2 linked regions of the Schizosaccharomyces pombe genome follow. The protein of the gene in region 1 purifies or fractionates together with the protein of each later gene. This does not show direct contact. Each region holds a gene or a part of one and is shown on either strand. Other genes may lie near its edges.

Region 1 (3,934 bases):
TAAGTTTCCATGACAAATAATATGCTTTCGTTGGGACTGAGTTCTCTAGATTGCAACTCCGATGATGCATTTGGTGGAGCTACTACACGAATCGAAAGCTCAGGTGCATCATAATACTGACTGATACGAATAGGGAATTTCCGAGCGATGGCATCTTTTAAATCGTCAACCAGATGATCTTCAGACAATATAACGGAGGAAGTAATCCCATCTGGAACTTTTTTAAACCAAATGCGCATCTTCTATATATCTTCTTTCTTTTGACTTAACCTCAACTTTCCTATATACAGTATGAACAACCAAAACAGCCGCCTGTTTTTACGTTTAACATTCGATAGCTTCTTGTATAATCCCCTTCTATTTTAAATTTAATAGAAATATACAAGTATAAAATCACTGTTCGTGATAAGGAATGAGTAAGGTATGGTTCACGATACAATACGGCAAGCCTACTTAAGGTGTTGAGTTTCGTTACCTAGTCGTGCAACAAGCGCTGGGGATTTAGTAGAGTACTTAGAGTAACACCTTCCATCTGAGGACAAAAATCGAATAAATTTTAACACGTGAAAATAATAGGCACAGCTAAAACTGCGATTGTAAATTATACATTCTACGATACGAGCAAATAAGTATTCGTTTAAAAGGGATACTGTTGTGTTATTGACTTACTATTAGAATTCGACATTACTAAAATTTAACTAATTGAGTAATTGTTTCTGAAATTTATTCCTTATTTTAGATTTTATTTAAAGTATGTAGTTTAAAAAAAAAAAAAATTAAACGTTATACCCATACTTAGTTGGCTACCATTAATGGTCCTATTACTACTTGTCAGGTTTGGATATTTAATGACTCAGATTAAATGATTTAATCAACACAAACCAATATTTTTGAAATTCAAAAATAATGAGGCTTCAATTTCTCAATGAGAAACCAAAAAAAATTATTTTAGATAGTAACCCATTTAGTCATAGAAAAAAAAACCGTGTTTGATTATATGTACAATTTATCAACTCATTTATTTTTATCAGGTTCTTAAATCATAATGATAAACCTAGGCGATTCTATTAGGAAGCAATATATTAAGGACTAATAAAATAAACAATAAATATTAATGATTAGGAAATCAAACGCACCAAGATAATCAAATTGATAAACAAACTATAGATAAATGACAGAAATATTGAATCAACAAAATTGCAACTCATTCAAAAAGTTATCAATTTACACTTAAAGAATTATTTACCACAAAACATACTGTAGCGTTAGCATTTGTTGCTCCTGTTAATAACGACTTCTGATCTCGATGAACTCAAAAAGTTCGAACCAACATAATATAGCGAGTGCTTTTGATCATTCAAGAATTAGAAATGAATGCTAACAATACTACATTACAATTACGAATTACTATATGTCACATGTTCTGATTACCTATCGTCTTACAAATGATAACAATACGATGTAGATCCACTAATAAATTTTTTAATTTATTAGCTAGAAATGATAGATGTAAAATCAAAGGAACAACGTTCTTTAGTTCAGCTGTGGTGGTTTGTTTAGAGATAAATTACATTACCGCCTTCATACAAGGATATCCGTAACCCCCGTTATCATACAACCATATGTACCGCTATGTAGTGCACATACGAAAATCAAGTAGTCTAACATATCATTAATGATAATTACGAACTGCATAGCTAAAAAAAATAAAACGCAATATCAAACTTAACGAAAATATTTTGTGTAAACGTTAATAAACTGTAATTATTTTAAGGAAAAGTGCTTATTCACGTTGTTAAAATAAAAAAGTACAACCTACAGATGCGTACACAGAAAGAAGTGAGTTTATTCGTTCCGCGAACTAGCTTGGCAGTAAATTTTGGGGAATTGACTTTTGTACATTATAGCATACCATTGTGGATCAATTTTATGTTCATTGCATTTTTTTAGTAATTATTACTTCTTAGAGTTCCTTTTTTTTTCAACAAAACCTTCGGATTTACGTCTGAGGTGATCGATCTTTTCATGCTATGTCTGCTCATGAGGTGTCCTCCACAAAAAACTCAGAAATTGAAAGAATTATTAAAGAGGCAGAAGATGCGGGTCCTGAAAATGCACTTACGTTAGATCTATCTCATCTAAACTTGCGGGAATTACCTTATGAACAATTGGAAAGAATCCAGGGTCGGATAGCGAGACTAGCGCTAGGCCATAACTTTATAAAGAGTATTGGTCCTGAAATCCTAAAGTTTACTCGTCTCCGGTACCTAAATATTAGATCGAATGTCCTTAGAGAGTTTCCCGAATCTTTGTGTCGACTTGAGTCACTTGAAATTTTAGACATTTCTCGCAATAAAATCAAGCAACTGCCAGAATCCTTTGGAGCTTTAATGAACCTTAAAGTTCTTTCAATTTCTAAAAATCGTCTTTTTGAGCTTCCCACCTACATTGCACATATGCCGAATCTTGAAATTCTTAAAATTGAAAACAATCACATTGTGTTTCCTCCTCCGCATATCGCTAATAATGACTTGCAAGATTCTGATATGCAGTTGTTTATTGCCAATATAAAGGGATATTTGTCGCGAAACGAATCAGTCTTTAGAACGCGAAGTGAAAGTACTGTTTCCGCTGCTTTATCCGCTTCAGCTAATCTTAGTCACTCGGAAGAAAATGACTCCTCTGTGGTTGATTCTTACTTATTTAGTGCCCCATCAGATACTAGCCATGCGGTTTCACCTGGCATGCTGACGTTTGTCACGCCAAGTCCCCATTCACATTCTCCTGCCGGGCATCAACAGTCCACACCCAAATCGACTTTGTCAAAGACAAATGAGAACTCAGAAGGAACATTGTATGATTCAAATGTTGCTCATGGATGCACTCATCCTCCATCACTTAATCAATTAAACAAATTTCATCTAGATGCGTCGCCTAGACAAGCCCGTCCTCGTAGGTCAGTTTCTTTAGCTACTGGCCTCAATTCTCCTTCTGTTTCAAAACCACCTTCTTCTGCTACAGGACCATTGTACCATTCACCCCAAAGCTCACTCACCAATTCCTCCGTCGCTAGTGCAGACGTTCAAGAACGTACTCACAATACTAACGGCGCTAGCCCCATTCAAGACCAAATTTCAGAATTCACTGATCAACATCAAAATCCCTCAAATAATGATGCTGCTTCCACACAATCGATTCTAAAAACAGCTCCAACGCAGTTGAGTGCGAGTGCTAAAACATCAGCCATAAGTTTACCTGAGGTTGCCAAGAAAGAGCGTAATAGAAGCAATAGTACAAATGATGATTACTCTTCTACTAGACTTCCATCGAGTGTTTTACATCGTCTTGAAGCCCTTAAAGAAGCGCGCAAACTTTCTGAGCAATTACCAAATCGAATTTTTGCTCAAGATCCTCATCCTTCCCCTCGTTTGAAAAAAGAAGAAACGCATGAAAATGGCTCCAATTTGACAAATGACTCGGTCAACAGCTACTTCAGTAACATTGGAGGGAGTGAGGTTGAAATGAAGCACTCGGCCTTTGAAAAAACTTTAGAGTCGTCTAGGGGCATATTGTTTTCGCTTTCGCAAGTCCAACAAGCCCTTCGTCAGCAACTTCTTTTTTGCAGCAACCCCGTTGTTTTAGATTCTATGCGTCATGTGTTACATACTGCCAATGTTCAAATTAAGCGGCTAATTCTGTGCTTTGAGGATACCCAACAAAGCAATGATGGAACTGCAAACATTAATTCCATAGTAAACGCTTCATTGTCTTGTATCAGCTCGTTTCGTAAACTAATTGAAGTGACAAAAAAATTTTTAAATGAGCTCACTAGTCGTGCGGATGTCCGATATGTTCGGCTTTTACTGCTAATTCTTTTCGATGCTGCAAAGGAGTTACAAAACGCCTTGGTACCATTGAGTCCATCACAACCCCA
Region 2 (3,934 bases), 980 kb from region 1:
GGTCGTCTCTCGTTACAAAGCTGGCAAAGCTTGTTTGACATCTTTAATATAGATGAAATTGTTAAAAACTTGAAATTTCATTAGAGGAATTTTTTAAGCTCCTTGACAAATTCTATTGAAATACCACATTTTTCGCTAAAGCAGTTAACGTAATGTGTTACTATACATTATATGATAAATCGTAGCTTATTGGGAAGATTGATAGGGTAAACCCCCATTCATAGTCAAATATATTAGATGATACAGTAAACGGAGATAGAATTTCTAGAAAATCATCTTTTTATAAGCCTTAATATGAACATAAATGCAGAAAAACTCCAAGTTAGCAATTCGTAAATATTTAAACTACTGAGAAGTATAACAATAACAATAATAATAATAATAAACAGTGCAATGATGGTTGAACAGGATATACGCCCTGGAGTTTTCGTGTAAGTAAACATTCATGAATCTTTGGATACTTAGTGTTAAGTTCAATTCACTACATCATCTAAAAATAACAAACTATCCTATTAGAAATTTGTTAATGATGATAAAGCGAACGTATACAATTCTTGTATAAAACAAAAAATTTCAACTTAATAAAATAAAGACTTTTTGAAGTAGCGAGTTGTTATATTATATATTAAACGGTAACAAACACAAATTGATTATTTCAATTATTGATTTTGCTGATGATATAAGCAGTGGCATCAAGCTCCTTCTCCCAAAATATTTGTTTGTGAATCAAATCTTCGAGAAACTCCTAGTTAAAACAAATGTAAAAAGTAAAATGATAAATGTACAAATAATAAAAACTTATAAATGGGGTTGTATGAAACATTGTCATCTCTTGCTTGTGAAATTGTTGTTGGCGCTGCTTTTTTAATATTCTGAGAAATTAATTTTGCTCTCAAAATTGCTTATTTAATATTGGCTATCATAAATAATTTTATTATTTATTTATTTTATTTTTTATTTTTTTTACATATTTGTTGTCTGTATACCCATGCTCAATTGTGTCAAATACCCTAATAGGTGCGATTTTTGATGAACAATTGAAGACTTTGTTTTATTTCCCACTATAGAAAATTAACACCCGGTAGTTTTGAAGGCTTTACTTATTTTAGCGACTGTGTGCTCTAATTAATTACAAGCTCGATTCGTGAAAACTTCCTTTTTGCCACGCAGACTTTTAATTCCGAAATTTACACAGCCGAGAAGCTGCCTACAGTAAACGAAGTAATAATAAATGGGCATTGCTAAAGAATTTTGATGTTTTTGAGAAGTCGCATTCTACAATTTAAATTTTGGTAGAAAATATATTACAGAAAACAGTACCAAGTCAGCTAACTTTTAAGCCGTAACGCGTATTCCCTTTGGTGTTTGTGGTCTGCTAGTTTCTTAATCCAGCATTCAAAAACAAGGTAATTTAAGGTCTAGAAACATTATTTGTGACTTACAGATCCGACATTTAAAATGGCAAAACAGTATCTCGACTAGTTGGTTAAACAAATTTTAGCCTCAAGAATGTAGGACCCTTCTTATAATTTTGTTAAAGGAAAAATTCAAAAAACATTCATGTTGTCGTGATAGTGTATTCCATGAATAAAAATCACGATTATTTACAGAAAAAAAAAATATTGACATTGTATTTTAACTATACAGTTATTTAATAATATAATTGTAGCCAACCGTAGTAATTGGTGTTATACTTTCACTCCTGCTGATCCTATTTTCCTCGAATTTTCCTAGTGGACGATGATATATTGTGCTTTAAGAACCGCAACGAACTCGTAATTTTAGTTTTACTTTCGGTAGTTTGAAATTCCTTATTCTAATCATATATAATGCATTCTCCCTTGCGGGCAAGCAAGTTCACAACTTTTCGGGTACCTCTGACCCTTGTACAGTCTGTGAATAGCAGTCATTTGCTATTCAAAACGAATATTGTTAGAACAAGAGCTGAATTTCCTCTTTTCATAGACTAGAAGAAGTTTACTTTAACCGGTAGGTAGAGAAATTTTTCCCCTTTGAATTGTCTTTCGTTCTGAGTCATTATCATTGTGAAATAAGACCGATTTTAGAAACAATTATTTTCGTTTTCTTCTTTAATTCTTCGTTTTTCACTCGTTCCTTAAAAACCACTTTGGTGTGAGGAACTTCAATTATTTAGATTGCCTTTAGCTTAAAGCAGGTTTATGGTCTCATTGAATATTCTAGTATTCTATACTATTGTTGATTTGTTGAGAAGTACGGACTTGTTTCGATTCCGAAATCTACATCCGTAATTCGAGATTTCTAACCAAGCCTGTTGTTCGGAATCCGTTATAGCTGTTGGTTTGAAACCATTCCAAAAAACAACACATTCTATTTTCTGAATTTCCTTTATTCATACTCTAGAGATTCTGTTAATTAAAAACTGATATACTCCTAGTTGTTTTATTATCGTTTCGTTTTTTCTGATACGATAATTTAACGGCTATCCTTTTTGATTATCCAAGAGCATCAAAACAGAGGCTTTGCATCCTTTTGTTTGTTCTGTTTTTTTTTTTTTTTTGCTCTTATATTTTTGCAACCGAACTTCAAGGGTTACAAATTTTAACCTGAAGAAGGATTTTCTATTTTGCATCTTCAATCGTTTAATCGGCTGACCTATTTATTCTAAATTCCTTACAAAAATCCTTTTTACCTTGAATGTCACACCTTTAAATATTGAAAAGATTACGGAGTTGTTTTTATTATTATTATTATTATTATCATCATTTTCGTTGTTAATTTTAATCTTTTCCTTCGATATTCTGTTTTTGGCTTTTTTATTTTACCTTTACTTACCTACGCCTATTTTATCCTATTTCACTTAATTTCCCTGTTTCAGGAGGTTTTTTTATTCGAAAATTATTTCAAAGAGTGCGTCTATCCTTTAATCCTTCCACAATGTCGCGAAAAAACCTCATAAAACTTAATCATGATCCTACTGTCACTTACAGTACCAAAGATGATGCTGATGAATTATTTGATGATCTCTCTTCTTCTCCTCTTCATGAAAATGTTAGTTGGATATCTTGGTTCTGCTCAAGACCAGGTCGTGAATACTTTGTCGAGGTGAAGGAAGATTTTATCGAAGATCTTTTCAATTTAACCGGTCTTAATTTGGCTGTCCCTTTCTATAATGAGGCTTTGGACCTAATTCTCGATCGGACAGCTCCTGACACATTGGAGAATTTTGATATGGACGTAATTGAAACGAGTGCTCAAATATTGTATGGTTTGATCCATCAACGTTATATTATTACCCGGACAGGATTACATCAAATGGCGGAAAAATACAGCATGGGTATTTTTGGTTGCTGTCCTCGTGTAAATTGCTGCTATACTCATGTTTTGCCTGCAGGACTTTCTGATATAGTTGGAAAAATGCCTGTAATGTTATTTTGCCCTAATTGTCTTGATTTGTACGCTCCTTCTAGTTCTCGATACAAAAACATAGATGGCTCTTTTTTTGGTGCTACTTTTCCTCATCTGTTTTTTGAAAGCTATCCTGAACTGAATCCTAAGCGCTCAATCCCTTGTGGTAAAATTTATCAGCCTAGAATTTATGGCTTTAAAGTCAGCGAATTAAGTAAAACAGGACCTCGAATGCAATGGCTTCGTATGTACTTGGAAGATAGTGGTAGCGATTCGGAGTCTGAAAGTGATTAAAAACGATGCTTCATCTTATTTATGCCATAACCTAATGGTTCGTTCCTCTAAGCCTTAATAATACTTTTATTCCTATAAAATATCCTTGAAGTTTCTTTTCCGTCAAATTCAATTATCTAGTTGATGTCTCATTGCTTTGCATATAAGAAAAAACAGAATTTGGTATTTTTTAATATAATGTCCGCGAGGCATTTGAATTAGTAAATTCACACTAAAGAGCTTGATGAACTTCCAAAGGATTTAATATTGGTTA

What was found.
Region 2: the proteins of sog2 (region 1) and ckb2 purify together in Schizosaccharomyces pombe (affinity purification with mass spectrometry, with the first as the bait; one study listed by BioGRID). This does not show direct contact.

What each region holds. Positions count from the first base shown.
Region 1 is NC_003423.3:3,553,579-3,557,512, reverse strand, and holds the start of sog2 (leucine-rich repeat protein Sog2), read left to right. Parts: upstream 1-1,856; 5' UTR 1,857-2,030; coding exon 2,031-3,934. Other genes in the region: response regulator Mcs4, read right to left, coding at 1-239.
Region 2 is NC_003423.3:2,578,064-2,581,997, reverse strand, and holds the start of ckb2 (CK2 family regulatory subunit protein), read left to right. Parts: upstream 1-1,859; 5' UTR 1,860-2,916; coding exon 2,917-3,681; 3' UTR 3,682-3,934. Other genes in the region: cytosolic thiouridylase subunit Ctu1, read right to left, coding at 1-41. UniProt on the Schizosaccharomyces pombe protein: Regulatory subunit of casein kinase II/CK2.